4 linked regions of the Stegostoma tigrinum genome follow. The protein of the gene in region 2 purifies or fractionates together with the protein of the main gene of each other region. This does not show direct contact. Links are inferred from orthologs where the notes say so. Each region holds a gene or a part of one and is shown on either strand. Other genes may lie near its edges.

The links.
Region 1: the proteins of upf1 (region 2) and upf3a purify together in Homo sapiens (affinity purification with western blotting; 5 studies listed by BioGRID and IntAct, with this or other methods). This does not show direct contact. The link is inferred for Stegostoma tigrinum from reciprocal best matches to the Homo sapiens genes UPF1 and UPF3A.
Region 3: the proteins of upf1 (region 2) and upf3b purify together in Homo sapiens (co-immunoprecipitation; 16 studies listed by BioGRID and IntAct, with this or other methods). This does not show direct contact. The link is inferred for Stegostoma tigrinum from reciprocal best matches to the Homo sapiens genes UPF1 and UPF3B.
Region 4: the proteins of upf1 (region 2) and putative helicase MOV-10 purify together in Homo sapiens (affinity purification with mass spectrometry; 3 studies listed by BioGRID and IntAct, with this or other methods). This does not show direct contact. The link is inferred for Stegostoma tigrinum from reciprocal best matches to the Homo sapiens genes UPF1 and MOV10.

The regions. Positions count from the first base shown.
Region 1 is NC_081359.1:66,907,466-66,914,998, forward strand, and holds the start of upf3a (regulator of nonsense transcripts 3A), read right to left. Parts: upstream 3,006-7,533; 5' UTR 2,884-3,005; coding exon 2,767-2,883; intron 2,630-2,766; exon of another isoform or gene 2,517-2,629; intron 1-2,516. UniProt on the Homo sapiens protein: Involved in nonsense-mediated decay (NMD) of mRNAs containing premature stop codons by associating with the nuclear exon junction complex (EJC) and serving as link between the EJC core and NMD machinery.
Region 2 is NC_081383.1:306,333-314,119, reverse strand, and holds the start of upf1 (regulator of nonsense transcripts 1), read right to left. Parts: upstream 3,004-7,787; 5' UTR 2,754-3,003; coding exon 2,583-2,753; intron 1-2,582. UniProt on the Homo sapiens protein: RNA-dependent helicase required for nonsense-mediated decay (NMD) of aberrant mRNAs containing premature stop codons and modulates the expression level of normal mRNAs.
Region 3 is NC_081368.1:16,065,218-16,072,999, forward strand, and holds the start of upf3b (regulator of nonsense transcripts 3B), read right to left. Parts: upstream 3,009-7,782; 5' UTR 2,902-3,008; coding exon 2,791-2,901; intron 1,604-2,790; coding exon 1,497-1,603; intron 1-1,496. Other genes in the region: ndufa1 (NADH dehydrogenase [ubiquinone] 1 alpha subcomplex subunit 1), read left to right, coding at 3,226-3,327. UniProt on the Homo sapiens protein: Involved in nonsense-mediated decay (NMD) of mRNAs containing premature stop codons by associating with the nuclear exon junction complex (EJC) and serving as link between the EJC core and NMD machinery.
Region 4 is NC_081374.1:4,742,903-4,750,832, reverse strand, and holds the start of putative helicase MOV-10, read left to right. Parts: upstream 1-4,913; 5' UTR 4,914-5,177; coding exon 5,178-5,314; intron 5,315-7,930.

The sequences.
Region 1 (7,533 bases), on a different chromosome or scaffold from region 2:
TCAAAGTTTGACGGAGATGTGCGAGGGAAGACTTTTTTTTAAAAACAGAGGGTGGGAGGTCTCTGGAACACAGCCAGGGGAGACAGCAGCCACTAATTTTATGAGGCATTTAGAGAGACAAATTAACATAGAGGAAATAAAGGGATACGGACCAAATGCAGGCAAAGGGATTAACTTATAATAGCCTCATGGTCAGCGCAGATATGTTGTCCAAAGGACCTGTTCCTGTGCTCTGCTGTTATATGTTCTCATCAGTGAGGGGAGCAGAGAAATTAAGGCAGCTGATGTCATGTCGACAGTTCTCAATAAAGAGATGAAATGCAGAGAAGATGACAGAAGGCTGGGTACTGAAGATCGGTGAAAGGGTCCATGGAACAAAGAGGAGGGGTCCTGTCCAGCGAAGTAGGCAAGGAGGCAAAGGCAATGATCAAAGAAGAGTTTGGCATCACATTGTGCAGTATGGTGGCTCAGTGGTTAACACTGCTGCCTCAGAGTCAGGAGCTGGGTTCAATTCCTCGGTGACTGTGCCTAAAGTCTGCACGTTGTCCTTGTGTCTGCATGGGTTTCCTCCCAAGTTCAAGGATGTGCAGGTAGGTTATGTGGATCAGCAATGCTGAATTGGCCCATAGTGCCTAGGGATGTGTGGACTGACCATGGGAATTGCAAGGTTACAGGTACAGGGTGGGTCTGAGCAGGAAGTTCTGAGGAGGTTCAACTGGCCAAATGGCCTGCTCCCACACAACTAGCCCTGTTCATTATGCAATGCCAAATCTAAAAATGCATTTCCCCTAATTGGTTCCAATTTTGCAAAAGCAATTCCATGAAATCAGTCAGTGCATTGAGTACAGGGGTTGGGAGGTCATGTTGCAGCTGTATATGACATTAGTTCAGCCACTTCTGGAGTACTGAATGCAATTCCAGTCTTCCTGCTATAGGAAGGATGTTGTGAAGCTAGAGAGGGTTCAGAAAAGATTTACAAGGGCATTGGCACGGTTGGAGATTGAGCTGTGGGGACAGGATGAACAGGTTGGGACTATTTTCCCTGGAGCTTTGGAGGTTGACACCTTATAGAGATGTATAAAATCATGAGGGGTATGGATAGGGTAAATAGGCAAGGTATTTTCCCTGGGTGGTGTCTAAAACTAGTGGGCATAGTTTTAAGGTGAGAGGGGAAGAATAATAAAAGGGAGCTAAAGGGCAACTTTTTCATGAAGAGTGTGATGCACATATGGAATGAGCTGCCAGAGGAAATTATGGAGGCTGGTATGATTACATTTAATAGGCATCTGGATGGACATATTAATAGGAAGGGTTTAGAGGGATATGGGCCAAATGCTGGCAAATGGGGACTAGATTAGATTCCCTAGAGTATGGAAATAGGCCCTTTGGCCCAACAAGTCCTCACTGCCCCTTGAGGCATCTCACCCAGACCCATCCCCCTATAACTCACACACCCCTGAACACTACAGGCAATTTAGCAAGGCCAATCCACCTAGCCTGCACATCTTTGGCCTGTGGGAGGAAACTGGAACACCCAGAGGAAACCCACGCAGACACAGGGAGAATGTGCAAACTCCGCACAGACAGAGGCTGGAATCGAACCTGAGTCCCTGGGGCTGTGAGGCTGCAGTGCTAACCACTGAGCCACCCCAGATATAGGATATCTGGTTAGCATGGACGAGTTGGACCCAAGAGTCTCTTGCCATACTGTATATCTCTATGATTCTAGAACTGATCTTCAACCTCACCTTTGCTAATTTGATTGGTCCAATCTGCGTAGAAAATCAGAAAACAATAACCCGGAAATTGCTGGAAAAGCTCAGCAGGTCTGGCAGCATCTGTGAAGAAAAACCAGAGTTAATATTTCGGGTCCGGTGACCCTTACAACGAATACACCGCCTTTATCATAAACATCTTAATGCTCTCATGTCCATCTGCGACGACAGCATCCACGTGTAATCGGCCAATCAGTAAATTTACAAATAAATCACGCAACGATAATCAAAGCTTTTCAATTATAAATTTCCTGTTATCGCTGTGTGCAAAATACTGATCTCTTTAGCGAAAAAAAACACTTTTAGAAACATTTTAATATGTATGGCTTGTATTGTTGGTGTCAGTTTTAAAGCATTGATGTAAAGAGGGAATATTTTCAATAAAGAAATTAAATTCCCTTCCCTCTATAACGACGACCTGAACGAAATCACAATAACTGGCAACGTGAAGTGTGGGACTACAGGTACGCAGATTGCGCAAAATGCTATTCTTCCATTTTAACCCAAAACGGGAATTGCACCACTTCAAAGCAATTACTTTTTAAAATATCCAGAACCAGTCTCATATCACACGATTGGGGATCACAAAAATTTGGGACGAGAATTCTCGTTACGTTATCCAGCATGATGATGGTTGTGAAGTCTGACTATGACAACATATGAAAGAGGACAGGACAATGGCCGTTTGATTCGTTGGAAAATTTTAGCCTCATCGATCTTAAGCGCGTGGATGTGCATTACCGCAGCAGTATGATGCTGAAGATCAATCGGTAATCAACGAGCAATCCAACGGAGGCATAATTGCAGCCGCGTGAGCCACCCTTGCACTCGAGGCCAGCTCGCGATCTGTCAATCACCGTCCGCCTCATCATTTTAACTCCCACGTCACCATGGAGACCCCGCAACGCTCTAGAACACACACCCACCCCCCCCAAAAGAAAACGGCTTTCGTGCTTGAGGGAAGGAAGAAAGCGAGCAGCGCAGCCCACACCTTAGTGAGCACCTCCTTTTTTTCATCTTTCTCTTTGCGTTTCTCCCCTTCCTCTCTGTCTCTGAACTGGATCTCCACGCGCCGCTCGCGCCCCTTGTTCTCTTTCTCTTCTTTCATTCCGCACACTCTTCACTCCACCGCCTATCGCTCGCACACTCTGTCAACCTCTTGCTGTGCTCGCACTCGTGTTGACACATCTCGCGATGACGCGCACGCTCACAGGCCTCCTCCCACGTGATGCTCCCGGATGGGCTGACTCCGCCCTCTCCAACCGCCCAGCGGGGTGCGTGTTGAGGTGACTTGTTACTGTTTTTGACGGCATCTGCGTGGATTTCGCTGGTGTATCTAAGGGCTTGCAATATTGGAGCGATACTTTGTCTTCAAAGTCTCTACGTTTAAAGATGATCACAGAGATAATACATTTATCTATTGACTATGGAACCGATCCTTAAGTAGTATAGGATAAATTCCTGAATAATATCGTATTAAATTGATGACGTTGTAAAACCAGTTCAGTATGTATTGAGGAAAGTCCTGGCTGCCTCCAGGCTTGATAGATAAAGGTTGAAGATCTGGAAAAGGGCAGTGACAGCTACAATAGGATGGTGGCAATGAAATAATCTGAAAAACAGAGAGTATGCCTTGACTCAAAGGATCTAAATACAGATCTGATAAATTCTCACTACCCCACGCAAACCATTAAAGAAATTTTGTAACAACGTGAAAGGGCAATTTTATGTCACCACCCTAGATGTGAAGATGGGTTACTAGGAAATGAAGCTGAATTAAGACAGTAGCTTTCTTGCTACAATCTGAATGCGGACTGGGCTTTAGAAATAGTTGTACAGAAACAGAAAAACTCAGCAGGTCTGGCAGCATCTGTGGAGAGAGCAGAGTTAATATTTCCATAAGACCATAAGACATAGGAGTGGAAGTAAGGCCATTCGGCCCATCAAGTCCACTCCGCCATTTAAATCATGGCGGATGGGCATTTCAACACCACTTCCCTGCACTCTCCCTGTAGGCCTTGATTCCTTTTGAGATCAAGAATTTGTTGATCTCTGACTTGAAGGCATCCAACGTCCTGGCCTCCACTGCACTCTGCGGCAATGAATTCCACAAGGCCACCACTCTCTGGCTGAAGAAATGTCGTCTCATTTCAGTTTTAAATTTACCCCGTCTAATTTTAAGGCTGTGCCCATGGGTCCTAGTCAGGTCCCCAATGCTTCAGAACCCTTTAAAACCTGAGTCTTCCCACCAATTTCTATTTTTGCTTTTTATTTCCAGCATCTGCAGTTCTTTGGTTTTTCTGTTCAAATCATTCCATAGTTGTGATGGAGAAACACTCACAACGTTCATTCTGTTTTCTCTCCAATGACATGGCCAGATCTGCTGAGTCTTTACAGCAATTTCTGCTTTTGTTTCAGATAGTTGTACATTCAATTTGGCATTTCAAAAGCTCCAGAGAAATATCAAGGTAGGCAGCATGAGATGATGAATGATGTTCCTGGAGTCAACGTGATAGTGGATGATGGATATGGTGTATTGGGCATATACAGATGAATTGACAGTCTAAGATTGCGTATTATACAAAGCAAATGGATTCATTGCTCCCAAAGAGTTGGAATGAGAGATGCCAAGTAGTTTATGGATATGGAGACATAATGAATGATCCTGACCATATTGAAATCTATTATGGTTGCTGGACAGAGATTGCCAGCTGAAGCTAAACAATTAAAAATAATAATTAGGATACTCAGAAGCATGGACATAGGTCATGTATGGACAACAAAAATTCTTTCTCTAAGTTCCAAAAAGGTGAGAACTGTAACAGCAGTGGAGAGACCAATAGATATAGTAGCAGTCCAACAATTTGTTGGATTTATAAATCAGGTTATCAGATTGAGTTTTTGGATATAGTCCCAAAACGTCAGCTTTCCTGCTCCTCTGATGCTGTGTGGCCTGCTGTGTTCATCCACCTCCACACTACATTGAGGTTTTGAGTGTTGTTAGAGCCGTACCCATTAAGCAAGTAGAAAATATTATACCAAACTCCTAACATTGGGAGGTGGACAGCGTTCAGAGAGGCAAGAGGTGAATTACTCACTGCAGAATTCTTAGCCTCTAATCTGCTTCACCCTGCAATGAGATGCCAATAAGACAAGATTTGCCCTAATATCACAGAGACAGTTGGCTGGAGGTATCATCTGGATGGAACATATGAGCAAAGCAAACACATGTGCACGGCTGAAATGCTGTCAAGGCTAGGGTCTATTATATAGGAAGTTGAGGATGATGCATCAGAGTGTAAAATCTTTTACATCTAATATGAATCATCTACTCAACATGTTCTGGAAGCCAGAACACAGCATTAAAATTGAGTTTATCAGACCCCAGTCAAGAAAACCATCTAACAAGATCTAAATTTTCAAGTGTTGTAAGAAGTGATGAAGGAAGAATGGTCTGAAAGCATCAAGGACAGTCCTGTGGTTACAAGGGTGTACTGGGCAAGAAGAGATGAATTGACAGTCCAAGGTGGCATAATGTATGAAAACAAACAGAATCGTTGTCCTGGAGAAGTTGAAATGAGAGATGCTAAGTGCATCCATGCAAGGCAGCAATGGAAATGAGTTGAATTTGTGGAAGATAAGTTTCTGTTTGATAAACATGAGCAATTAAATCAAAGATCACATCAGCCAATGCATTGCCTGTGATGCATGCCAGGCTAGAGAGTTGTGGATCACATGACATTTTGGATAGACCATGGATGAAGCTGGAACTGGATCTCTTCACTCTTGCAGGAACTGATTATCTTGTCACCGTAGACCAATATTCTGATGACTGGGAAGTCGACCAACTGATTTATTCAAGTACTGAGATTGTAGAATACCTGAAAGCACACTTCTGTCATTTAACTGCTCTTTGCCTCTGAATGCCTCCTTGATTGTTTAATATATTCAACAGTGCAACTGAGACTCTCCAGATGTCTGTTTAACAGGTAAAAGCTCATGAGAACATTACATAAATATTGATTGGTTACCTTGTAAGTGCAAGGTAGTACTGAGTGCAAATTATGCAGAACAAAGACTTGATTCAAATAACTTATTACTATTTTTTGAAAGGTAGAGACGTAACAATTTATAGAAATCATAGTTATGTATGCTTTTACTGGAATTTCATGCTGGAAGGATGTTTCCCCTTGTGGAGGAACTATAACTACAGATCTCCCATTGAATATAGAGATATATTGTGTATAAAAGTGTAAGAGACTGAAAAGGGTAATGCTGAGGAGCGTGTCAAGCACCACCGAATTTGTTGATGTTGCATGAATTTGGGCTGGAATAGATTTGGTTTGCAAAGGAGTAAAACGTAACATTACTCATTATCTCAGTAGCAAATGTCTATCATACCAGTGCAATTAGTACTTGTTGCTATCATGCAGTAAACTACATCCTGCTTAAAGCAGGAGCCTGTTCTCAACAGGCTACCAGGTAGGTTCCCTCTACCAGACTAGATCAAGAAGGCCCTGGATGTCTTCAAGGTAAAGGATAATGACAACAAATTACCAGGCAAATCTAATATCTCGATGAGTTATAGAGCAGACTCAGCTTACAACCTGGTAGCAAGCAGTGCAGATGCTATTTAGCTGTAGCATACAAAGTCCTACAGACACTGACGAGCGTGAAGAAAACTGCTCAACTAGGCAGCAGTTAAAAGAGATGAATATTTCAAAACCTTACAAAGGAAAGTTTCAGGACAAGATTCTGGAAGGCAAAATCTACAGTTGATTGTAAGAAACATTTCAAACCTGGTAAGGAGCATACAGCAGCAAGAGTGAGCTAGCAACATGATGGAGCACCAATCAGTGCAGATAATTTGTAAGACTGGTCCTGATTCAGGTTTCAGCTGAAGAGCAGATAGACATGTGGGATGCTCTGGGAGTAAAGGTTAAATCCCTGCTGGGCAAGGGATAACATTTAAAAAAAGGCATAGTTTACAGGTTGTGATACCTTCAAGTAAGCACAGTACTTACATTTTTTCAGAAGAAAGGTCCCAACTCGAAACATCAATTTCCCTACTCCTCTGATGCTGCTTGGTCTGCTGTGTTCTTCCACCTCCACACTGTGTTATCTCTGACTCTAGTATTGGCAGTTCTTACTATCTCACAGTACTTACAAGTTCAGATTGAGTGTTGCTGCCGTAAAAGCAGGCATAAGGCATAACTACAGTGAAAGGGCCAAAGAAGCAATTCAAGACACAGCCGCAGACCTGAGAATCTTACAGGGCTAGAGTTAAAGTGATTAAGGGCAAATTAGAAACTATACAGACAAAGTGCAATAGAAGAAGAAAGGTAGGACATTATTGAGGCTACAAACAAGGCAAGAGATCCATTATTTGAACCGTGATAAATGGGGGGAGCATTTATTAAAATTTCACATGGCAGAACTGATCGAGAAAAAAGTAGTGAAGCAACAGGGCTTATTAATAATGCCACAGTGCTCATACTCTGTTTTGTGGTCTTCCTCATTTTGCCAAACTATTGATCTTGTATCCTGTTCCTCACTTTGCAGATTTGAGCAATGTTTGTATTTACCGGTGGCTTTTTCTGCTCTCAGTCAGAGTGGCCTCCTTCCTTTAATTGGCTCCTTCTGGCATATAAGTGAGTCAGTGCCAACTTTTGGTAATTGATAATAGCTTTATCCAGTTCTTCAAAATCACTGTGCCCATCTTCAGTCTACCCTAGTCCACTTAACGGATAACAGATGT
Region 2 (7,787 bases):
GCAGAGGTCACCAAAAACACCATGTTACTGGATAGAGATAACAACAGTTTAGAACTGGAGGAACACAGCAGGCCAGGCAAAAGAGTAGTACAAACGTTGACGTTTTGAGTCAGGACTGTGCTGACAGAATATATCTTAAACAGCTTGAAGCATCACAACCAACCTGAGTTTTTTTTCCCCCCACAATAATTCATTGGACATGGTTACGTGCCCCCTGCCATATTGCCAGTCAAACATAAAACATGTCCATAAGCACACCTTAACCTAAACTGCAACCATAGAATCAAAATTAAAAAGTTTCTAATGAAGCATTATACTGCTTCTTACACACACATTTAGAGTACTGCGCACAATTTTAGTCACCACACAAAAGGATTGCTGTTGAGAATTTGGAAAGTATGCAAAAAGGGGTTTACCAGGATGTTGCCTGGACTGGTGTATATTAGGTATAAGGAGAGACTGGCCAAACTTAACTCAGAGATAGTAAGAACTGCAGATACTGAAGTCAAGAGATAACAGTTTGGAGCTGGAGGAACACAGCAGGCTAAGCATTATCAGAGAAGAGGAAAGTTGACGTTTCGGGTCAGGACAAACTGTTTTTGTTAGGATCGAAGTTTTTGTAGGAAGGGGGAAAACAATGGCTTGATAAAAGTATATAAAAATTAGAAAGTCATGGATAGAGTGAATCCTCAGAGTCTTTTTTCCCCAGGATTCGGATGTCAAATACTGGGACGCACAGGTTTAAGGTGAGGGAGGAAAGTTTAAAAGGATAGGTGCGAAATAAATGTTTTTATAAAAAGGTGGCAGGTACCCAAAATGCGCTGCCAAAGTAGGTAACAGAAGGATATGCGATAGCAACATTTAAGCACCATTTAGGCAGTCACATGAATAACAGAATATGAACTTTGTGCAGGCAGATGGGATTTGTTAATGACAGCAGCATGGTTGGCAGAATATTGTGGGCCAGAGAGCCTGTTCCTCTGTTATACTGTTCTATATTGTACATTTACATACAAATACACACAGCTGCAATGCTGGTCATTACCCTCTGTCTTAGGTGTGTGGTTAAATGCAAGTCATAGCTCCTTCAACATGCTATTTTTCCAGTGAGATTAAATGTTTGACAGGTATGACAGTACATCAGAACAACAAACAGCATTCAGTACTTGCCTCAAATCCAAGCCCATTATTTACTACCCCAGCATCACGGTACATCAATACAATATTGAAATGGTTCAAACTGTAATTTTGGCTCAACTATAATGTTCAAATAAATACTTAGCTTATAAAATGTAGTGTGGTGTTTTCATGAGCTTTGAGAAACATACGACCACTTCAACTGAACTTTAAGAATTCTAAATATACCCCACGCTAGAAATCCACACAACTGTTCCCTCAGTTGTTTTACCCCTGATGTTTTGAGGACCGAGTATATGGGGACTTACTCTGACCTCAACAACTTCACAAGTTCTAATGGCCAAAACAACTAAACTACAAATACATGATTCACCCACAAGTCCAATAATTCTTGTTGAAGTCAAAACATCTAACTTGTCTTCCTACCTGCACTTATTGCAATTTTCATCGTCTCTGGATTATACAATGCCTATTCTCTCAGGCCACTGTAGAGTAGTAATACTCTAATACCAAAGGTGGGTCACTCAGAATCTTTACATGGAATTTTATTGCACTTATTCCTGCTGCTGATGCAACCAACTGTCACTTTTAAACAAGAACAGGTATTTTGCAAGTTTTCTCTCACTTCCAAAACAGTGGCAACCTGATATCTGCTTTTGGGTGGTTAGGTGGAGGGTCTTCACTTCACCAAATTATCATTGTCCCAAAGCCTCAGGTTGCATATGTCAACTAAAATGAACCCAATGGAGCTGGCAACAGGAGTTCAGTTGAATTGGGGCTTATTTTCATGAAGTTGAGAAGCAGCAGCAGGGAAATCAGAATGTGGAGAATCCTGTGTATTTTCACATCAGCACTTACACACAAAACACAAAAATCGATCTAGCATATCAGGGAGCTCCAGCCTCATTCCCTTAATTCCAACAACCTTCTCTCAGACCAGCAGCCCACTTGCACTACTCCCTCCAACCAACACTTCAACAGCTCCTCACTCCGTATATTCCCATCGTATCTATTACAGCTTCCACTAGCATTAAGTGCCATCGGGGTACTGCACAGGGTGGGGAGAAGAGGAAGGACATATCAGGTCTGTCGGGAGTGAAGGTAGTGTGGCTCGGGTGGGGGGAAAGGGAAGGGACACAGGGAGACAGCAAGAGTGACTACCCCCACACCCACCCACCACAAAAAAAATCGGGCCTTTGAAGGCCCAGCCTTCGCCACCTCTCGCCTCCGCTTCCTGCCCTCCATGTGGGTCCTAGCCGACAAACCCGACAGCCGAAGCTGAAGCAGCAACGAGGGACTACACTCAGAGCCCGCACGGAAAAGTAGGCTCGAGTGGGGAAGGGGGCTAGTTCGTACATCCTGTGTTTAGGCCGCGCGGCCTGGGACTGGCGTGTTTTCCTTGCGGGGGGGGGGGGGGAAGTGCGGGAAGCCCCGTCGCTCCTTACCTGGCCTTCGATGGGCCCTTGGCTCTGGCCTTGTGTTTGTGTTTGTGACGGTAAAGTGAAGTCGGTGAACTCGAACTCGGAGCCCTGCGTATCGGCCCCAAGCAGCTCGGCCTCCTCCGTGTCTAGGAAGGTGAGAGTCTGAGAGCTCGGCCCGTACGCGTCCACACTCATGGCGGCCACGGCTCGGGAGCGCGCACTCGCCCCCGGCGCGATTCAAAACCCTGGGAACAACCGCTGCGCAGCACGCGCCGGGCGGATGAGAAGAAGCGAAGCGAGGCCGGGCCTTGGCTGAGCCTACTCGGCGGGGAGCCGGGCAGCGAAAGGGCCGGTAGGCGCGGGTTCGGGAATCGATCGCTCGGCAGCGGCCCGAGAAACCCAGCGAGAGCCGCAACTCCCCCGCAGCGCTGACGTAGTGCACACAGCGTCGTGACGCACGCAGAAACGTCATTGCGCCCGGACCTGTGGTGACGTCATCGCCAGCAAGAAGCGATGCCGTAATCCACAGGAGAGCGGCGCTAAGTGAGTGGGCGGGAGAAATTTACCCCGACACCCACAAACCCAATCTTCCCTCCCACACGCAGTATGCCCACCCTCAGCCCCACCCCACCACCCTGCCCCATCCCCACCCTCTCCCTCACCACCCTGCCCCATCACCAGCCTTCCCCATCCCCACCCTCACCCCCCCACCCTGCCCCATCCCCACCCTCACCCCCCTCCCTGCCCCATCCCCACCCTCACCCCCCTCCCTGCCCCATCCCCACCCTCTCCCTCACCACCCTGCCCCATCACCAGCCTTCCCCATCCCCACCCTCACCCCCCCACCCTGCCCCATCCCCACCCTCACCCCCCCACCCTGCCCCATCCCCACCCTCACCCCCCTCCCTGCCCCATCCCCACCCTCTCCCTCACCACCCTGCCCCATCACCACCCTTCCCCATCCCCACCCTCACCCCCCCACCCTGCCCCATCCCCACCCTCACCCCCCTCCCTGCCCCATCCCCACCCTCTCCCTCACCACCCTGCCCCATAACCACCCTTCCCCATCCCCACCCTCACCCCCCCACCCTGCCCCATCACCACCCTCACCCCCACAACCCTGCCCCATCCCCGCTTCACCCCCATCACCCTGTCCCATCCCCACCCTCACCCCCACCATCCCCAATCCTCACCCTTAACCCCCACCATCACCATTCCCACACTCACCCTATTATCCTCAGCCCTGCCCCAACCCCATCCCCACCCTCAGCCCCACCACCCTGTCCCATCCCCACTCTCGCCCCAACCACCCTGCCCCATGCCTACCCTCACCCCCACCATCTTGCCCCATCCCCACCCTCACCCCCATCATCTTGCCCCATCCCCATGCCCACCCTCACCCCTACCACCCTGTCCCATCCCCACCCTCACCCCCACCACCCTGCCCCATGCCCACCCTCATCCCCACCACCCTGTCCCATCCCCACCCTCACCCCCACCACCCTGTCCAATCCCCATCCTCACCCCCACCACCCTGCCCCATCCTCAACCCCACCACCCTGTCCCATGCCCACCCTCACCCTCACCACCCTGCTCCATGCCAACCCTCACTCTCACCACCCTGTCCCCTCCCCACCCTCATCCCCACCATCTCCAATCCTCACCCTTAACCCCCAGCATCACCATTTCCACACTCACTCTATTATCCCCAGCCCTGGACCCACCATCACCACATCCTCAGATCATAACCACCGTCCCCACCATCACCACTTCCAACCCCCAATGCCTTTATAACCCCCATCTCCACCCCTCCTCCTCCCCCTTACATCCACTATCCAGCACTCTATTACCACCAACCCCCTCACAGACCAGTAACTGTCTACCCTCACATATACCCACCTTCCTGCACTCCCACTCCACAATGTTAACCACCGCAACAACCTTACCACCAGCCCACACCTACCCCAACAGCAACATCTATTATCACCCCACTAACCCCCTGTTATCCCACCCCCTCACACTTCCAACCCCAGTCCCCCCACATCCCTTATTATCATATGCCAACAATCTCTTCACAACCCACCTACTTCATCACCTCACACCCACTGGTGCCCTCACACCCACATAGTTCACACCCCTTCAAACTTCACCAAACTCCCTAGACACACACCACCAACTCCAACCACTCACGTCCTAACTCCTCATAGCCCACCAACCCCCACAGACCCCTCACACTCCCACTCCTCATGTCCTCTAACACCCTCAAACAGACTTCTAAATCCACTCACACCCATCCCCAATAACCCAGGGCCCTTAAACCGCCTCTCCTCTCCCCATCACTCAAATATCCCACTCCCCACTTTACACAAACCAACATACCCCACAGCACCATCATTTCATGCCTACAACCTCAAAGCTACCCCTCTATTTCCCCTTACACAGCCCAAGTCCTCTCCACTACATCCAGCCCACCCACATGCCCACTTCCCTCAAACAGCCCACCCAAACCCAAAACACACCTCATTCTATCACCCAACTCAACCACAGCCACCTTAGCCCCCTTTCATCATCCCAAATCCCAGCCTCCTCCCACACTCACCCACTTAACCTGATTCACGTAATCCACCCCAACAGCACTCACATCCCGGCATCCACATGTTTAACATAGTCATACAGCATGGAAACAAATTCTTCAGTACAATACACCCATGTTGACCAAGTTTCTCAAACTAAGTTACTCCATATCCCCAATATCATCCCTCTCTCATCTATCTCCCTAACCCCTCAGTCTCACCCACATGATCATCACCCAGCCTTATGTCATCCATCACCCCAACATTGCAAACCTCATTCCTCCACATTACCAATCCAGTCTTTCAATCTCACTCACCGAATCACCAAACACCCCCAACTACACAACAAATAACCCTCATTCCACCTGCATATTCAATACTTCCTATCCCCTTGACCACTCTCAACACCCGACCAATCTCACCATTTATTGTTTCACACCAACTGCCACCTTCACCATCACCTCACTCACTGCTCTCACCCAACCCTCACCCTGCTCATTAGTTCTTGGGCACCTTCAAACCCCTATCATTCCTGCTCAACCACCCTCTCATCCACATCAATCCCTCATCTCCCTCGCTCATACACAATTTCACCCTATTTCCCTTTCCTCCCCCACCCAGGTTCATTCTGTTGGCTACATGACTAACATGTAGATCAGCCAGCAACAGTGTTGGATTGAATCCATGTTGAAACTGAGGTGGATTCAGGGTCTGCTTTTTTGTCCACCAATAGTTAAAAGGTCTCGAGAATCTGTCTTCAGCCAGATAATTAAGAGTCAAAGCCCACATTCCATGAAGCAATAAAAAAATGTCCTTGGCTCAGTGTTCCTGTCTCACTGACACCTTACCTCTCAGTACGTCTGTCCCAGCATCAAAGCCTCTAGAACAATGCATTCCCCAAGCCATCTGCAACCTCACCCAATGCTGAGTGTTTCCCCACTTCAATAAGGACCTTTTGGTCAGTTATTGAAGTGCACCCTGTAGATGGTATGTCACTAGTGAACATTGAAGGTGTCAGATTGGGTGCCAGTCAAGCAGGCTGCTTTGCCCTGAATGATGTTAAACTTCTGGAGTGTTGATGGAGCCACATTTGTCCAGGTAAGCAGAGAATATTTCATCATAATCTTGACTGGTACCATTTAAAACACTGAAGCTTGAACACACATCAACAAGTCGAAGAACAACTTTTTCCCTGCAGTTGTTAGACTGCTGAATGGACCTCTCTAATTTCAAATAATGTTGATCTTGCTAGTTTTGTGCTCCTGAGATGCTGCTTGGCCTGCTGTGTTCATCCAGCCTCACATTTTATTATCTTGCTAGTTTTGACCTTGGTTTTGCACCTTCTGTGCAGCCATAACCTGTATGCCTCGTTCTGTCTATGATCTGTATATCCTTGTTTGCTATCATTTACCTGTACTACTCACAACTTTTGCACTTAGATACATGCGACAACGATAAATCAAATCAAATGAAAGATGAACTGCCACACCTCACCAAGCCTTCTTTGACAATACCTTAGAAACCCACCCCCTATTACTTATAGAAAGATAATGGCAGCAGATGCTTGGGAACACTACCACCTGCATGAGATCCGCCATGTCAAACATCATGTTAACTCAGGTAGAAGGGTGTGAATGCCAAGTGGTTAGACAGGAACAGAGGTAAAGTGGGGTTGCAGTGAATGAAAAGGACCAGTGTGTGGGGGACGTGGTGTGGAGTGGATGTGAACAGCGTGAGGGTGGCGGCATGAATAGCGTGAGAGGCAAGAATGTGAACAGAACAGCGTGGTGCAACATCCAATCCAGTTTAGTCTGGCTGCAATGTGGACTGACTGAGTTGAGGAAAAAAAATCAAAATGGGATAACACAGGAAAACCAGCAGTTGTTTAATTGGTGATTATTTTTCTCATTAATTTTAATGGATAAAGAAAGGGAATAATTGTGAACATAAGCTAGTAAGAAATATAAACATGGATTGTAAAGCTATTATACGTATGTAAAAAGAAGATGAGGAGCAGGGAGAGACAGGTGGGTCACTCTCAAATTGGCAATGTCTATTGGGGTACCTCAAGGATCAATGCATGGATCTCTGCTTTTCACAATCTATATCAACGATTCAAATATAGGGACCAAATGTAATATTTCCAAGTTTGTAGATAGAACATAGAACATAGAAAAGTACAGCACAGTACAGGCCCTTCGGCCCATGATGTTGTGCCGTGGAATAATCCTAATCCAAAAATAAAATAAACTAACCTACATTCCCCTCAATTCACTGCTGTCCATGTGCATGTCCAGCAGTCGCTTAAATGTCACTAATGACTGTGCTTCCATGACTACCACTGGTAAACTATTCCACGCGCTCACAACTCTCTGGGTGAAGAACCTGCCTCTGACGTCTCCTCTATACCTTTCCCCTAACACCTTAAAACTATGACCCCTCATGGCAGTCAATCCTGCCCTGGGGAAAAGTCTCTGGCTATCGAAGATGACACAAAACAAGATGGGATGTGAGTTCTGAGAAAGATACAAAGAGGATTCAGACAGGGACACAGGTGTTTTTGTTCATAGATCACAGTCAACCTTTATCACAGAGGTTTTCAATCCAGAAATAAAGAAATCTGGCTTCAGTTGAGCAAAACACTGGTGAGATCACA
Region 3 (7,782 bases), on a different chromosome or scaffold from region 2:
TTGCATGGAACTTACTCGCTAACTTACAATTACTATTGTAAACTCTCTGCTTCTTCCTGTCTCATTTTACTTGTCCTCACCCTCATCACTTAATGTTCCGTTGCCTCTAACTTTGCCCTTGGAATTTCTACATCTTTCTTCAACTTGGTCCTGCCCCCTTTTGTAGGCTACACGTTTATTTTGTTCAGAATTTGAACCAGTGCCTGAATACTAGACAAAAACTCAAATAAAACTTTTGCATTTAACTCAAAAGGTTGAAATGTATTTTTGAAATTACTGTTGATACAGTAGTTTAAAATCAATAAACAAAAGCAAAACACCAGATGGAACTTCCCCAAAAGATCAAACACAATGACTCATGAAGGATTTACAACAAAAATCCACTTGACTAATTTACTAAAGATTATATGCCCTGAAATCACTGTCCAAAAATCAAGCTGTTTGTAGCCAAGGCTTTACACTTAATATCAAAGCACTGATGCAAGCAAGCAGTACAGAAATGCTTCCTGCAGCATGAGTCAAACAATGGTTATGCTCAGTTAGAAACAGGTGCAGTGACTGACTTGAGACATTATTGAATCTTAGCACTGTGGTATACTAATCTTTGAGCAAAGCTGAACTCTAAAATAAATCAATTTAATCACATATTATACATATTTGTGTTTATTTACAACTGCTGTAACATTGCTGTATGGTTCTGAGACCTGTAGTCATAGAGGCAAGTGCACACAACAGCATCTATACTGAAATTAAATACAAAACACTGCAGAATCTTTGGATAGAGAAACTTCAGTTCTGAAGAAATTCCTTGACATGAAACGTTAATCTGTTTCTGCCTGATGCTACTCAGTCTAAGTATTTCCAGCAATTTCTTCTTTTGTTTCAGACTGCTAGCAATGCAATAGTTTGCTTTCGTTTACTGCCCCAGTGCAGCTGGTGTGAAAACTGTAGACAGTCTGCCAGAAGAGAACTATGCTTTTGCTCATCCACATCCCTCAGGACCACATTAAATGTTAGATTTGGTGAAGCAGCACTTTATTACATGGCCGTAATATAGTGCACTGCAAAGCCCAAATAACTATATGCACGGTACAAAGTATAGGTTGTAAATGACAGCAATCTGAAAGCTTTTCACATGCCACAGACAACTGGGATCTGACTTTGGAGTTGAGTTGACAGCTTTATTGACCGCATATTGAAAACTATTCCATGGTCCGTCAGACTTACAATCTATGTGACTTTAAAATTGTTTTGCTATATACGCACAAATTGAACTAACATTTCTCAGTTCTAAGATTTCATCAGATGACATGACCATGAATATATCACCACAGCATCTATATCTGATTAATATCAGAGGTGGTTTAGGCCCTCATAATAAATAAGAGTTAAAAAGAAAATAGATAGCAGCTCCTCTGGCTTTTAAGGCACCTTGATAATGTGGCCCTTGTGATTTAAAAGAAATTTGATAAAATTCTGTCATAGTAACAACCTACCTTGAATTGGTAGAGAAAAACTCGAAATAATCATGCTCAGGCAAAGGGGCAAGTTGCTCTTCTAATTGCTCTTTTGTTAGACTTGGAGGCAAACGACGGATCACCACCTGATGGATAAACGCAGTTCAATATCTATCAGCTACTTCTTTACCAAAAAAAAGTCAAATGTCAAAGCAATTTAAATTGAGAAACAGATCACACAGATTAGGTACCTAGTGAGCTACTTAAGCTCTCAACATCCAAATTACAAAAACAAGAGCAAACAATCCCATTACTACAATTTAGCAACAAAGGTGACGACCCTGCTGTGATGAGAGCCCAATCAATAAAGTATTATGGAAGAAACATCCTAATGACAAAACATTCATCAATAAAGAAGCTACTTTAGCATCAGGATCATTTAAACATTGCAAAATGTTAAACCTGTTTTTCTCCACAGATGCAGCTTGACCTCGAGTACTTACAGCATTTTGTTTTAAGACAAATCTGAAGTATTTGGAGAGCTAATCAGTAATTGAGAGGCAGCAACAAGATCCAGGAATGACTCAGCCACAAATTCATTTTCATACAATATGCAATTCTCCGAGATTAGCGTGGTCGTCACAAGTAACTGTGCTTCTCACAAAGAGGTAGAATAATCATTCATTAAAATTACGTACAGAAAACGGATTGTGAGGGGAAACCGGAAAGCAGCCTAGGGCAGCCTAGATCTGAGGAAGGATCACCAGACCCGAAACACTAACTCTGATTTTTTTTTTCTTCATAGATGCTGCCAGACCTGCTGAGCTTTTCCAGCAACTTCTGTTCTTGTTCCTGATTTACAGCATCCGCAGTTCTTTCGGTTTTTATCCAGAAAATAGGCTAACTGCCTCGGAGCATTGCACAAACACTCTGACAGCTTCAAGTAGTGAGGTAAAAACCAAAAGAACTGCGGATGCTGTAAATCAGGAACAAAAACAAAGTTGCTGAAAAAGCTCAGCAGGCCTGGCAGCATCTGTGGAGGAGAAAACAAGAGTTAACATTTCAGGTCCGGTGACCCTTCCTCAGAACCTGAAGCAGTGAGATTTTAGCCATGATGGTGAACACGGATTACGAAGGAAGCCATTTAGGCGGAGCCAAAAACCAGAAATTTCTGGAGAAACTCAGCAGGTCTGGCACCATCTGTGGAGAAAAAAAGTTAATCTTTCGAGTCCAGTGATCCTCCCTCAGATGAGGGCTGCAGTTCTTTGTCTTATTTAAGTGGAAACATTGCCTCCTGGACTGTATCCTGGCTGAGGCCTGTTGCTTCACAAACCTTGGTCAAGACCTCTTTTTTCTCCTTCTTTTCGGGTTTCTCTGCCCTTTCCTCATATTTGACCTCCACTTTCTTCTCCCTGGGTTTGGTATTCTCCTTATCTTCCTTCATGCCTTGAGGAGGCAAGCTGCGGCTTCGAAAATAAACAGGCCTACCCCGCTGACAGAGCCAACTCCAACTGAGCCGGCTAGCCTTTGGCTCCCTGTCACGTCACTCAAGCTCCGCCCCCTCTTCTGATTGGTCCGCGCCGGAGGGGGAAACGGTTTTTGAGGCGTGGTCACCACGGACCAATCGCCACGGGGCTTGCTGCGCAAGATTCCCCGCCCTCTCCTAGGAGAGGCAGTTATCGCGAGAGGAAGTGGTGGGGAAAACGAAGTCCCTTGGGGTTTGTGTGTGCAGTGGGGTCTTGGCGAAGGTCGCTGTGAGCGAGTTGCGATGTGGTATGAGATCCTGCCCGGGCTTGTCATCATGGCCGGCTGCCTGACGGTGCCTGGCCTCGCCACCATCTACGTTCACAGGTGGACGAACGGCGGTAAGGTAAGCAGCGGAGCTTGTAGCCGTTGTCGGTTGGCCCTTTCGCTGAGGGGCCTGTGGGGGCTGAGTCAGATTCTCGATCTTGAAAGGTGATGGGAAAGTTTGGGAAATTGCACGTTTGGAATGTCGGATCAGCCGTTAATGTATTTTATTCATTGAGGAAAAAAGAGTATACATAGTCACTGACAAAACAGTGCGGAGCTGGAGGAGCACAGCAGGCCAGGCAGCGTCAGAGGAACAGGAGCAGCTACTGTAAGCGTTTCTATACTGGCTTTGCACATGAATAACGTACAAACATCTAAATTTGGCATTCTCTGCATTTGCAAAAATAAAACAAGGCATTTCTTTCTTCAGGAGGGTTACATTGATATGTATTGAGGTACTAGAGGTATTTCTAACAGAGCTCACTGAGATACATAGCAGAAATTGGACTCCTGACTTATCCACCACAGATACTGAGGCAGTTGTTGCTGGTTAAATCTGAGGGATAACAGTGGTGAAAGTGTGCTGTGCTGTTTGCAGTGTCAACTTTAAGGTGAGACAGAAAAGTGAGAAATGGATAAATGAATGGACCAGAGATAATGGGAACTGCGGATGCTGGAGAATCCAAGATAACAAAGTGTGGAGCTGGATGAACACAGCAGGCCAAGCAGCATCTCAGGAGCACAAAAGCTGACGTTTCGGGCCTAGACCCTTCATCAGAGAGGGGGATGGGGAGAGGGAACTGGAATAAATAGGGAGAGAGGGGAAGGTGGACTGAAGATGGAGAGAAAAGAAGATAGGTGGAGAGGAGAGTATAGGTAGGGAGGGGATAGGTCAGCCCAGGGAAGACGGACAGGTCAAGGAGGTGGGATGAGGTTAGTAGGTAGGAAATTGAGGTGTGGCTTGAGTTGGGAGGAAGGGATGGGTGAGAGGAAGAACAGAGTAGGGAAGTGGAGACAGGCTGGGCTGGTTTTGGGATGCAGTGGGGGGAGGGGATGAGCTGGGCTGGTTTTGGGATGTGGTGGGGGAAGGGGAGATTTTGAAGCTGGTGAAGTTCACATTGATACCATTGGGCTGCAGGGTTCCCAAGCGGAATATGAGTTGCTGTTCCTGCAACCTTCGGGTGGCATCCTTGTGGCACTGCAGGAGGCCTATGATAGACATGTTGTCTGAAGAATGGGAGGGGGAGTTAAAATGGTTCGCAACTGGGAGGTGCAGTTGTTTATAGCGGGAGACGCGGTCAAGGGTGTTCTCGACCACTGCGGGGGGGGGGAAGTTGCGGTCCTTGAACTTGGACATCTGGGATGTGCGGGAGTGGAATGCCTCATCCTGTGAGCACATGCGGCGGAGGCGGAGGAATTAGGAATAGGGGATGGAATTTTTGCAGGAGGGTGGGTGGGAGGAGGTGTGTTCTAGGTAGCTGTGGGAGTCGGTGGGCTTGAAATGGACATCAGTTAATAGCTGGTTGCCTGAGATGGAGACTGAGAGGCCCAGGAAGGTGAGGGATGTGTTGGAGATGGCCCAGGTGAACTTGAGGTTGGGGTGGAAGGTGTTGGTGAAGTGGATGAACTGTTTGAGTTCCTCTGGGGAGCAAGAGGCGGCACCGAGACAGTCATCAATGTAACGGAGGAAGAGGTGGGGTTTGGGGCCTGTGTAGGTGCAGAAGAGGGGCTGTTCCACGTAACCTACAAAGAGGCAGGCATAGCTGGGGCCCATGCGGGTGCCCATGGCCACCCCCTTTGTCTGTAGGAAGTGGGAGGAATCGAAAGAGAAGTTATTGAGGGTGAGGACGAGTTCGGCTAGGCAGATGAGGGTGTCGGTGGAGGGGGACTGGTCGGGCCTGCGGGACAGGAAGAAGCGGAGGGCCTTGAAGCCATCTGCATGAGGAATACAGGCGTATAGGGACTGGACGTCCATGGTGAAAATGAGGTGCTGGGGGCCAGGGAATTGGAAGTCCTGGAGGAGGTGGAGGGCGTGGGTGGTGTCACAGACGGAGGTGGGGAGTTCCTGGACCAAAGGGGAGAAAATGGAGTTCAGATAAGTGGAGATGAGTTCGGTGGGGCAGGAACAGGCTGAGACAATGGGTCGACCAGGGCAGGCAGGTTTGTGGATTTTGGCAAGGAGATAGAAATGGGCCATGCGGGATTGGGGAACAATGAGGTTGGAGGCTGTGGGTGGGAGGTCCCCTGAGGTGATGAGGTCATGGATGGTGTTGGAGATGATGGTTTGGTGCTCGGAGGTGGGGTCATGATCAAGGGGGCGGTAGGAGGATGTGTCGGAGAGTTGGTGTTTGGCCTCGGCGATGTAGAGGTCAGTGCGCCATACTACCACTGCGCCACCCTTGTCTGGGGGTTTGATGGTGAGGTTGGGGTTGGAGCGGAGGGCTGCCCGTTCTGCGGGGGAGAGGTTGGAGTGGGTGAGAGGGGTGGAGAGGTTGAGGTGGTTAATGTCTCGACAGCAGTTGATGAAGTGGTCGAGGGAGGGTAGGATGCCTGGGGGTGGTGTCCAGGAGGAGGACTTGTGTTGGAAGCGGGTGAAGGGGTCAGTGGAGGGAGGGCTAGGCTCCTGGTTGAAGAAGTAAGCGTGGAGGCGAAGGTGGCCGAAAAACTGCTGTGTCCAAACGTGACTGGTATTCGTTGATGTGTGGTTGTAGGGGGACAAAGGTGAGCCCCTTTTGCTTAGGACTGACCATTCATGCTCAGTCAGTGGGAGGTCTGCGGGGATGGTGAAGATTCAGCAGGGCTCAGTGTGGCTGTCTACTCTGGGGTTGTGGGTGGAGCAATGAGGTCGTCTGCCGTGGGCGGGGTGTACTTTGTGTACCCTCTGTGTACTTTGGCAGAAAGTGATCTATTCCAGTTGTGCCTTGGCAGCAATAGCTGCCCCCAGCTTTAGTGCACCCCTCACCACGTAGTCCTGGGCCTTGGAATGTGCCAGTCTGTAACACTCGGTTGAGGTCAACTCTTTGCACTGGAAGACTGACTGGAGGGGCCAGATGGCCCACACCTAGCCCTATGTCTTACAGTCTCCTCTCTTTTCTGTTCCTACAAACATACTTTTATGTCATGGGGTTGGTTGACCAACGTCAATTTGAATTGGAGTAGCTCTTTTAAAGTGTCGCGGGTTCTTTTGAAGGAGTGTTAATGAATGAGCCCTTGGAAGGCCCCTCTCCTCCTATTTTTCCAGTCTGTATCCTGAGAAGGGTAAAAAAACCTTCCTCGCTTTTCTACCTCACCTTAAAGTTGACATGGCAGACAGTGCAGCACTCCCTCACTACTGTTATTTTGCCACAATAACCAGCGGAATTGCCTCAGTACCTGTGTTGAATAAGTTTGGAGTCCTGTTTCTGCTGTGTGTCAGGAACCTCTGTTAGAAATGCCTCTGTATGGGCATCAGTTGAAGAGGATCATCTACAAGATAGAAGTCAGGAGTGTGATGAAATTGCCAGATTTCTGAAGGGCCCAGACCCGAAATGTCAGCTTTCCTGCTCCTCTGTTGCTGCCTGGCCTGCTGTGTTCATACAGCTCTACACCTTGTTATTAGAGCATAGAACAATGCAACGCAGAACAGGCCCTTCGGCCCTCTGTTGCGCCGGCCTGTGAACTAATCTAAGCCTCTCCCACTACACTATCCCATCATTTATCCATATGCTTATCCAAGGACTGTTTAAATGCCCCTAACGGTTCTGGGAAAGAAGTGGGACAATGAGGGGCAGATGGCAGCCATTCACGTTGGACTGTTTGTACCTGAACAGAGCTGGCACTGAGGTCTCTGCAACATTTTATCTTGGATTCTCCAGCATCTGCAGTTCCCATTATCTCTGCAGTTTTAAACCTGTCCACAGAAGAATACTCAGCTAACTTGGATCCACGGCCACTTGAAATTTATTATTTTGGTGATGTCTTGCAGTTTAGTATGCTTTTTATGAAGTGTCTTTCGGTGCATCCTTGTGTTGTGGTAAATCGTCCTCCAAAGTTTGGGGCTGCAATGCAGCCAAGAGGTTTCTGCACATAAGCAGCCCCCTTTGAGTAGTTGTGCAAAAATCTTCAGGTACCGTAGACTTAATTTGATTGTACACTTTTTCAAAAGAAAATTGGTCCAGCCTTTTCTAGGAGAACTAATGCTTAGCTCACCTGATCATATTAGGGAGAGTCCTTGTCATGCACTCAAATATGAAGCCTCCCTGCTTCCTCAACAGAGGCAAGTAGGAAGCAGTGAGACTGCAGAAGGCCTTGGACAAGAGTGGGCAAGCAAGTGGCAGATAGAATTTCCCCATTTTGTATTCCGACGTTTTGCATTTTGGTAGGAAGAATAAAGGTGTAAACTATCTTCTGTGTGAGAAAAGACTTCAGAAATCTGAAGCACAATGGCACTTGAGAGTCCTAATTCAGGGTTCTTTTTTAAAGTTAACATTGCAGAATCAGTTAGGAAGGGAAATGCAATGTTTGCATTCAGTTTAAGACAGCTAGAATTCAAGAA
Region 4 (7,930 bases), on a different chromosome or scaffold from region 2:
TTCTCTTGCCTTAAACTTATGCCTTCCAGTTTTGGACTGCTTACCCTGACAAAAAGATCTTGTCTATTTCCCCAATCTGGGCTCCTCATGATTTAAAAACATCTGTAAAGGTCACCCCTCAGCATCCCATGGTCCAGGGAAAATAGCCCTAGCTTATTTAGCCTTTCCCTGTAGCTCAAACCCTCCAGTCCTGGTAACATCTTAGTAAATCTTTTCTGAACCTTTTCTAGTTTCACAACAGCCTTCCTATAGGAGGGAGACCAGAACGGAATGCAGTATTCCAAAAGTAGCTGAACCAATGTCCTCTACAGCTGCAACATGACCTCCCAACTCCTATATTCAATCCATTGACCAATAAAAACAAGCATGCCAAACCCCTTAATTGTCCTGTCTACCAGCAGCACCACTTTCAAGGAACTATGAACCTGCACACCAGGGTCTCTTTGTTCGGCACTCTGCAGTTCTCTGTTTACAAATACTCTGACTTTACATTCTTTTCACCAATGTGAAAAATACCATCTTTTTCAACATTGTACTTCATCTGCCACATTTCACCCACTCACTCAATCCATTTACCCTTCTGCAATCTCATGTCTTCTTCACAACACACTATTCTACCTATCTTGGTTTCTGCTTAAACACTGAGATGAAACTGCTTTAACTTGAATTGAATAAGCTTTATTCTCATGTACTCAGATGGACACAGTGGAAACTTTATAAGTCACCACTTACAGTACCATCTTAGATACAAAGTTATTTAGGTACAATCCTTAATTACAGAGTAGAGAAATGATGAAAAATATTACATCACAGCTAAACACAGCATAACCATTAGGTCAGACAAGAAGCAAAGTTAAAAAGACAAGCATTACATTTTCTCACCAAAGGCTTTCCGCAGCAACAGACTGATGCAAGGGTCCTCTGCATGGTCTGGCCACTGGGCTGCTGGCATTCCCACTCCTATCACTGGCACCCAGTTCCAGGCCAGTTGTAGACATGTTTTCCCTGGATCACTGTTGTCCAGGTGTACCTATATGCTGCAGCCTTGACACATCAGCTGGTCTGTCACCTTTAGTGGATTCTAAATCTTAGTATTGTTCACTTATTTATTTTAGTTTGTATATATTTACCACCAATTTAGACACTATGTTAGAACTTGGAATAGACTAGATCTTAAGCTCGTAGTAAATACTCACCGAAGAGCTGGCTCCTTTCCCTGTAAGTGGAACGATAACAGTTCTTTCCGGGTGAGAAAAGCAAAAGCAAGCAAACACCTCCTGCCCCCTCCAGCCCCTCCCTCCAACCACCACCATCAGACCCCACAATGCACCATACTCCCACACACAAAATTCCCAGGTTTGCACTCAATTTCCTTAGCTGCAAAACACATCGTAGGAGTAAATATGATACCACATACAGAAATTAGAAGAGTAAAGCGAAGACTTACACTTATACAATACTTTTCATTATTTCTAGGATATCCCATTGACTCATGGTTGGAAACATAGGAAATAGGATCATGTCTTTCAGCCCATTGATCCTGTTTCACCATTCAACATGATCATGGTTGATTTTCAATCCACACCATTGTCCTCGTCATTGCCCATGGCCCTTGATGCTCAGTCACATGTCACAAATTTCATTGATGAGAACAGAATTGAGTAAAGGGTTAAAAAACACTGACCATCATTAGCCAGATCCAGTACTTTGAACTGAGTTAAGTCACTCACTATCAGCTCTGAATCACCAGCTTGTGGATTTTTGACTCCACGCTTTGACTCCAGAATGCTACTGAGGGAATACTGACTGGTTTGCAGCCCAACAAGAAATTTTCACCACTTCTGTTTATTTTCCAGCTTCTGCTTGGTTGCTGATATCGTTGGCCACTTTTTCATAGCACTATTCAACACAGAAGTCCATTGCACCTGTGCCAGCACTTCGAAAGCACTGACCAAATATGCAGTCTCACTGCATAGTGTTTCTTTTCTGGGGATTGGCTGTCCACTAATACCTATTACAAAACTGGCCACTTCCATAATTACCACAAATACACTTCCTCATACCCTGCTTCCTGCAGGACTCCAGTTTGTTCTCCAGATTTCTTTGTCTCCCTTGCATCTGTCCCAATGATGCCACCTTCCACCAGGCTGTCTCTGACAACCTCCTTTTTCCCTCAACTTGGGAAGTTCCCCCCCCCCACTGTGGTTGACAGGGTCTTCAGTCATGTCTGACCCCTTTCCTACACTTAGGTTCTCACTCCTTTCAAGAACAACAGGGATCCTTTTGTCCTTACTTTCCACCACACTAATCTCCACATTGAAAGGATCATCCTACTCCATTTCTGCCACTTCCAGCCATTAATAAACGCATCTTACCCAGCATTCCACCGGGACTATTCCATCCCAAACCCCTAGTCCACTGTTTCATTTGTCCTAACACTTCCTCACTCCCATTCAATCAGAGAATGTAGCACTTGCCCTTTGGCTTCCTCCCTCCTCCACTTCAGGACTTTACAGCCTCTAGAACTCAACACTGGATTCCACAACTTCACAGCATGACCTGTGTCCTCCACTTTGAGCACAGCAACCAACACACACCCCCGGGTGCACAAACACAGACCCCCAGCCATATCTTCTTTGTGTATTTTTCACTTTGCACCCAAAAAAGCAGACCTATTTTCTGCTTTTCACACCTACCATTTTACATTTCTATCACTTTTTTACGCCATTAGCACTCCTCTGTCTTTTACCCTGGGATCCTCAGCATCTGTCGCATCGGATCCCCCCAACTAGCCCAAGAACCACAGATTTCCTGCCCCTGAGCTAGTAGGAACTTCAGATGCTGGAGAATCTGAGATAACAAGGTGTAGAGCTGGACGAACACAGCAGGACAAGTAGCATCAGAGGAGCAGGAAGGCTGACGTTTGGGGTTCTGACATAAATAGGGAGAGAGGGGGAGGCAGATAGGAGATGATAGGTGGAGAGGAGACAGACAGGTCAAAGAGGCGGGGATGCTTGTGAAGTCCACATTGATACCATTGGGCTGCAGTGTTCCCAAGCTGAATATGAGTTGCTGTTCCTGCAACCTTCGGGTACCATTATTGTGGCACTGTAGGAGGCCCAGGATGGACATGTCTGTGGAATGGGAGGGGGAGTTGAAATGGTTTGCGACTGGGAGGTGCAGTTGTTTAGAATGAACCGAGCGTAGGTGTTCTGCAAAGCGGTCCCCAAGCCTCCACTTGGTTTCCCCGATGTAGAGGAGGCCACAACGGGTACAGCAGATACAGTATACCACATTAGCAGATGTGCAGGTGAACCTCTGCTTGATGTGGAAATTCTTCTTGGGTCCTGGGATGGGGGCAAGGGAGGAAGTGTAGGGGGAGGTGTAGCACTTAATGCATTTGCAGGGAAAAGTGCTGGGTGAGTTGGGGTTGGCGGGGAGTGTGGAGTGGACAAGGGAGTCACAGAGAGAGTGGTCCCTCTGGAGAGCAGATAAGGGGAGGGAAACGTCTTTGGTGGTGGGGTTGGATAACAGATGGCGGAAGTGTCGGAGGATGATGCGTTGGATCTGGAGGTTGGTGGGGTGGTATGTGAGGACAAGGGAGATTCTGTTTTGGTTGTTATTGCGGAGACGGGGTGTGAGGGATGATTTGCGCGAGACACGGTCGAGGACGTTCTCGACCACTGAGGGGGGATGTTGCGGTCCTTGAAAAACGAGGACATCTGAGATGTTCGGGAGTGGAATACTTCATTCTGGGAGCAGATGTGGCGGAGTCAAAGGAATTGGGAATAGGGGATTGCATTTTTGCAGGAAAGTGGGTGGGAGGAGGTGTTCCAGGTAGCTGATCCAGAATATCTATTCAGTTCCTCCACCATTTCTTTCTTTCCTATTATTACTTGTAGACATAATGCCCCAGCCAAGCTGTTCCAGCACAGTAACAACACTGGCATCTACCCAACGATGTGGGAAATTGCCCTGGCATGTCTATACACAAAAAGCAAGTCAAATCCAACCCAACCAATTATCGTGCAATCACTGCTCTCTCAGCCATGGCAAGTGTAATCAAACGTGCTACTAGGTAGTGGAGCTGGATGAACACAGCAGGCCAAGCAGCATCTCAGGAGCACAAAAGCTGACGTTTCGGGCTTAGACCCTTCATCAGCTTTTGTGCTCCTGAGATGCTGCTTGGCCTGCTGTGTTTATCCAGCTCCACACTTTGTTATCTTGGATTCTACAGCATCTGCAGTTCCCATTATCAGTGCTACGAGGTAGTATCTGCTTAGCAAAAACCTGCTCAGTGACACCCAGTTTAGCTTCTGCCAGGTCCATTCATCTACTCACCTCATTATAGACCTGGTTCGAACATGGACAAAAGAGCTAAATTCCAGAAGTGAGGTGAGAGTGACAGCTATTAATATCAAGTCTACATTCTACTAAGTGTGGTATTAAGGCTATAAAGGTCCTACAGAAGCAAATATTTTCGCTGATAATAAAATGTGAGGCTGGATGAACACAGCAGGCCAAGCAGCATCTCAGGAGCACAAAAGCTGACGTTTCGGGCCTAGACCCTTCATCAGAGATGTGATGAAGGGTCTAGGCCCGAAACGTCAGCTTTTGTGCTCCTGAGATGCTGCTTGGCCTGCTGTGTTCATCCAGCCTCACATTTTATTATCTTGGAATCTCCAGCATCTGCAGTTCCCATTATCTCAAATATTTTCGCTATCTGGTTAGGGCCTGCCCCAAGTGCCTGCTTGTCGTTAAAAAAGAAATTGGGTGTTGCAAATTGCATTTGCAAATGGGCAATATTGCAAATGTTCTGCTAAACTTATTTCATATCCCTGGGTTTGCACCATCCATTTCCCATTTGTAATATAATACACCCTGGGTTTGCATCACGGTTGAACCTGCTGTTTAGGCCAAAATGATTCATTCGTATCCCAAGTGTAACTATGATTCGAGAGTAAGTTTCGCTTTCGTTTCCAGTTTGAATTTTAATTCGGTTTACAGAAACTCGGAAAACAAACGAGTTGATTCAATTGTTGTCGACCCTTCTGTAAAGCTGCAATACTTGTTCAAACTTTGAACCCCGCCCCCTTGTTTCATTTACTCCGTTTCACTGCGAGGCCGGTGTTGTTCATTTCAGTTGGTAATTTAAAAAAAAAACAAAAAGCATCGAAATGCCCAAGAAATTTCGCCTCAGAGAGTTGCGTGAGGTGGGGCTGAAGTTTATGGAATTTCTAAAGGACACGAAGCGAGAAGAAGTGACCGACTTGAAGGCCATTAAAAATATTTACAATTCCGAATTCCGTGGCAGGTAACGTGTCGTTTATTCTGTATCAATGAATCCCAGCGCGGGTCGGGCGTGTTTGCTACTTTGCCGGCGTGTATCCAAACTATTGCTACTTTTTAAAAAGAGATGTTAGGGGTTTCTTCACTTGAGTGCACACCTGAAATGTCTTGATTGTTAGTCGCTGCTGAACAGCATGGCTTGGAGCTTACAGCAACATTTGGAATCCTTGCAAGAGTTAAAGGGAGTAGTTTCAGTTCGGGAGGGAGGATGGGTGGGGATAGTTCGATTGGCTGTTATTGTATGAGAAGCATTTTGTTGGAGTTTGTGGAGCTTTGTTTCTTTGTTTCTTGGTTGATGTTGTGGCGGATACTTGAAATTGGCTGTTGTTGATTGAGACATGAATTTTCTACTGGAAATGGCCACCACTTTCAAGAAAGAATGTGGAAATAATCAAACAAATTAATTGTCCCCTTTTTCAAATGTCCCCCAACCTCATCTGCTCCCCATTACACCCTTGCCTGACCTAACCCAGGCCACCTGCCCCCCATTCTCTTCCTCACCACTCTCATTTTATTGCCCCCAATGTATCCCTCACGCTATTCCCCTCAGTTCCCTCAATCCACTCCTCCCACCTTACCGCACTGCTCCTCATGCCAGACAGACATTTTGCTTCTTCACCCTACATGCCAACTTGTACCCAGACAAAAAAATAAGTAAAAGTTGTAAATGACACTCCCTAATTCGACTTGTATACCTTAAAATGGAGTTTCAGCAGCATGTTTGATTCCAAATATAACTGTTCTGCTTTTTTATTTGTCTTCTGGGTAAAGTTCCATAGAAGCATAGAAAATTGAAAGAACTAGGCCATTCTGTCCATCAGGTCTGCTCTGCCATTCCATACAATCATTCAACTCAATATCCTGTTCCCACTTTCTCTCCACACCTTTTGATCCTGTTGGCCCTAAGACATAAGTCTGGTTCATTCTTGGTTCCACTTAACTGGAGATAATATCCTTCCCCAATATTGCACTAATTATTCAGTTCCCATTCCTGGTCACTATGCAGCCACATCTCCTTAATCCCAACTGTGTCATACCTGTTTGTGTCTATCTGTGTGACTAATTCATCTACTTTATCGTGAATGCTCTGTGTGTAATGACACATTGTCTTAAGACTTGGCTTTGTAATATTCTACGCCCATTCACCTTATTTAACACTGTGGTCCTGTATGATTCATGCCCTTGAATTCTCTGCCCATTACTTTTCTTACTTCCTATTTTGTTTGTTTAACTGTTTATACAAGATTAAACAATATTCACTGGATTCAAAACCAAAAGCCAATTCTTATTCTTTTGAAGAGTCTTAGTGGGCCAAGTGGAACAGAGCATGACAGTAGGCCGTTCAGCCCTTTGACCCTGCTCTGCCATTCAGTAAGGTCACATCTGATCTAGTAATGGCCTCAGTTCCGCTTTCCTGCCTGCCCTCCCCATAACACTTGACTTGCTTGTCTATCAAAAATCTATCTATCTCAACCTTGAGTTAATTTAAATACTCACCCTCTACTACCTTCTTGGGAAGAGAATTCCACACTCTGAGAGGGGGGAAAAAAAATTCTATCTCTTCGTTAAAAACAAGACCTCTGATTCTTAACAAAAACCAAATTACTACAGATGCTGGAAGAAGTAGGCCATTCAACAGAAATTGCTGGAGAAATTCAGGCAGGTCTTGCAGCATCTGTGGAGAGAAAGCAGGTCAGTGTTTCAAGACTGATGACTCGTTTGTTCTTCAAAACAGATACTGGAATCAAAACAGTGACTCTGTTTTCTCCCCACAAATGCTGCCAGACCAGCCATTTGTTTCTTTTTCTCTGACTCTTGAACTGTGTCCCCTAGTTCTAGTATCCCTCACAAGAGAAAATAACCTCATGAAATCCATCTTACCCAATCCCATCAGGAACTTGTTTCAATAAAGTCACCTCCATTTTTCAAAACTCCAATGAGCATAGGCCCAACCTGTTCTTACATTTTTCATAATATAAGTCCTCAATCCAAAAGTGAACAAAGTGTGGATACTGAAGATCTGAAGGAAACAGAAAGGGAAATTGCTGAAGAAACTCTGCATGTCTGGGAACACCTGTGGAAAGAAATCAGATTCAGTGTTTCGAGACCAGTGTCTTTTTTCTTGGAGCGGTGACTGGACTCAAAATGTTACTCTATTTCTCTACCAAGATAACAAAGTGTGAAGCTGGATGAACACAGCAGGCCACACAGCATCTCAGGAGTACAAAAGCTGACGTTTCGGGCCTAGACCCTTCATCAGAGGTCTAGGCCCGAAACGTCAGCTTTTGTGCTCCTGAGATGCTGCTGGGCCTGCTGTGTTCATCCAGCTTCACACTTTGTTATCTTGGATTCTCCAGCATCTGCAGTTCCCATTATCTCTGATCATTTCAATTTCTGTACCAGATCTGCTAAGTTTTTCCAGTGGTTTCTATTTGTAGAAAAGCTTTCCTACTTGTATATTCCATTACCCATGCCATAAGCAACAGTGTTTCATTTTCCTTCAAATCACTTGCTGTACCTGAAAACTAACTTTCCATGATTCATTTATCAGGCCATCCAGATTCCTCTGCAATCTCACTCT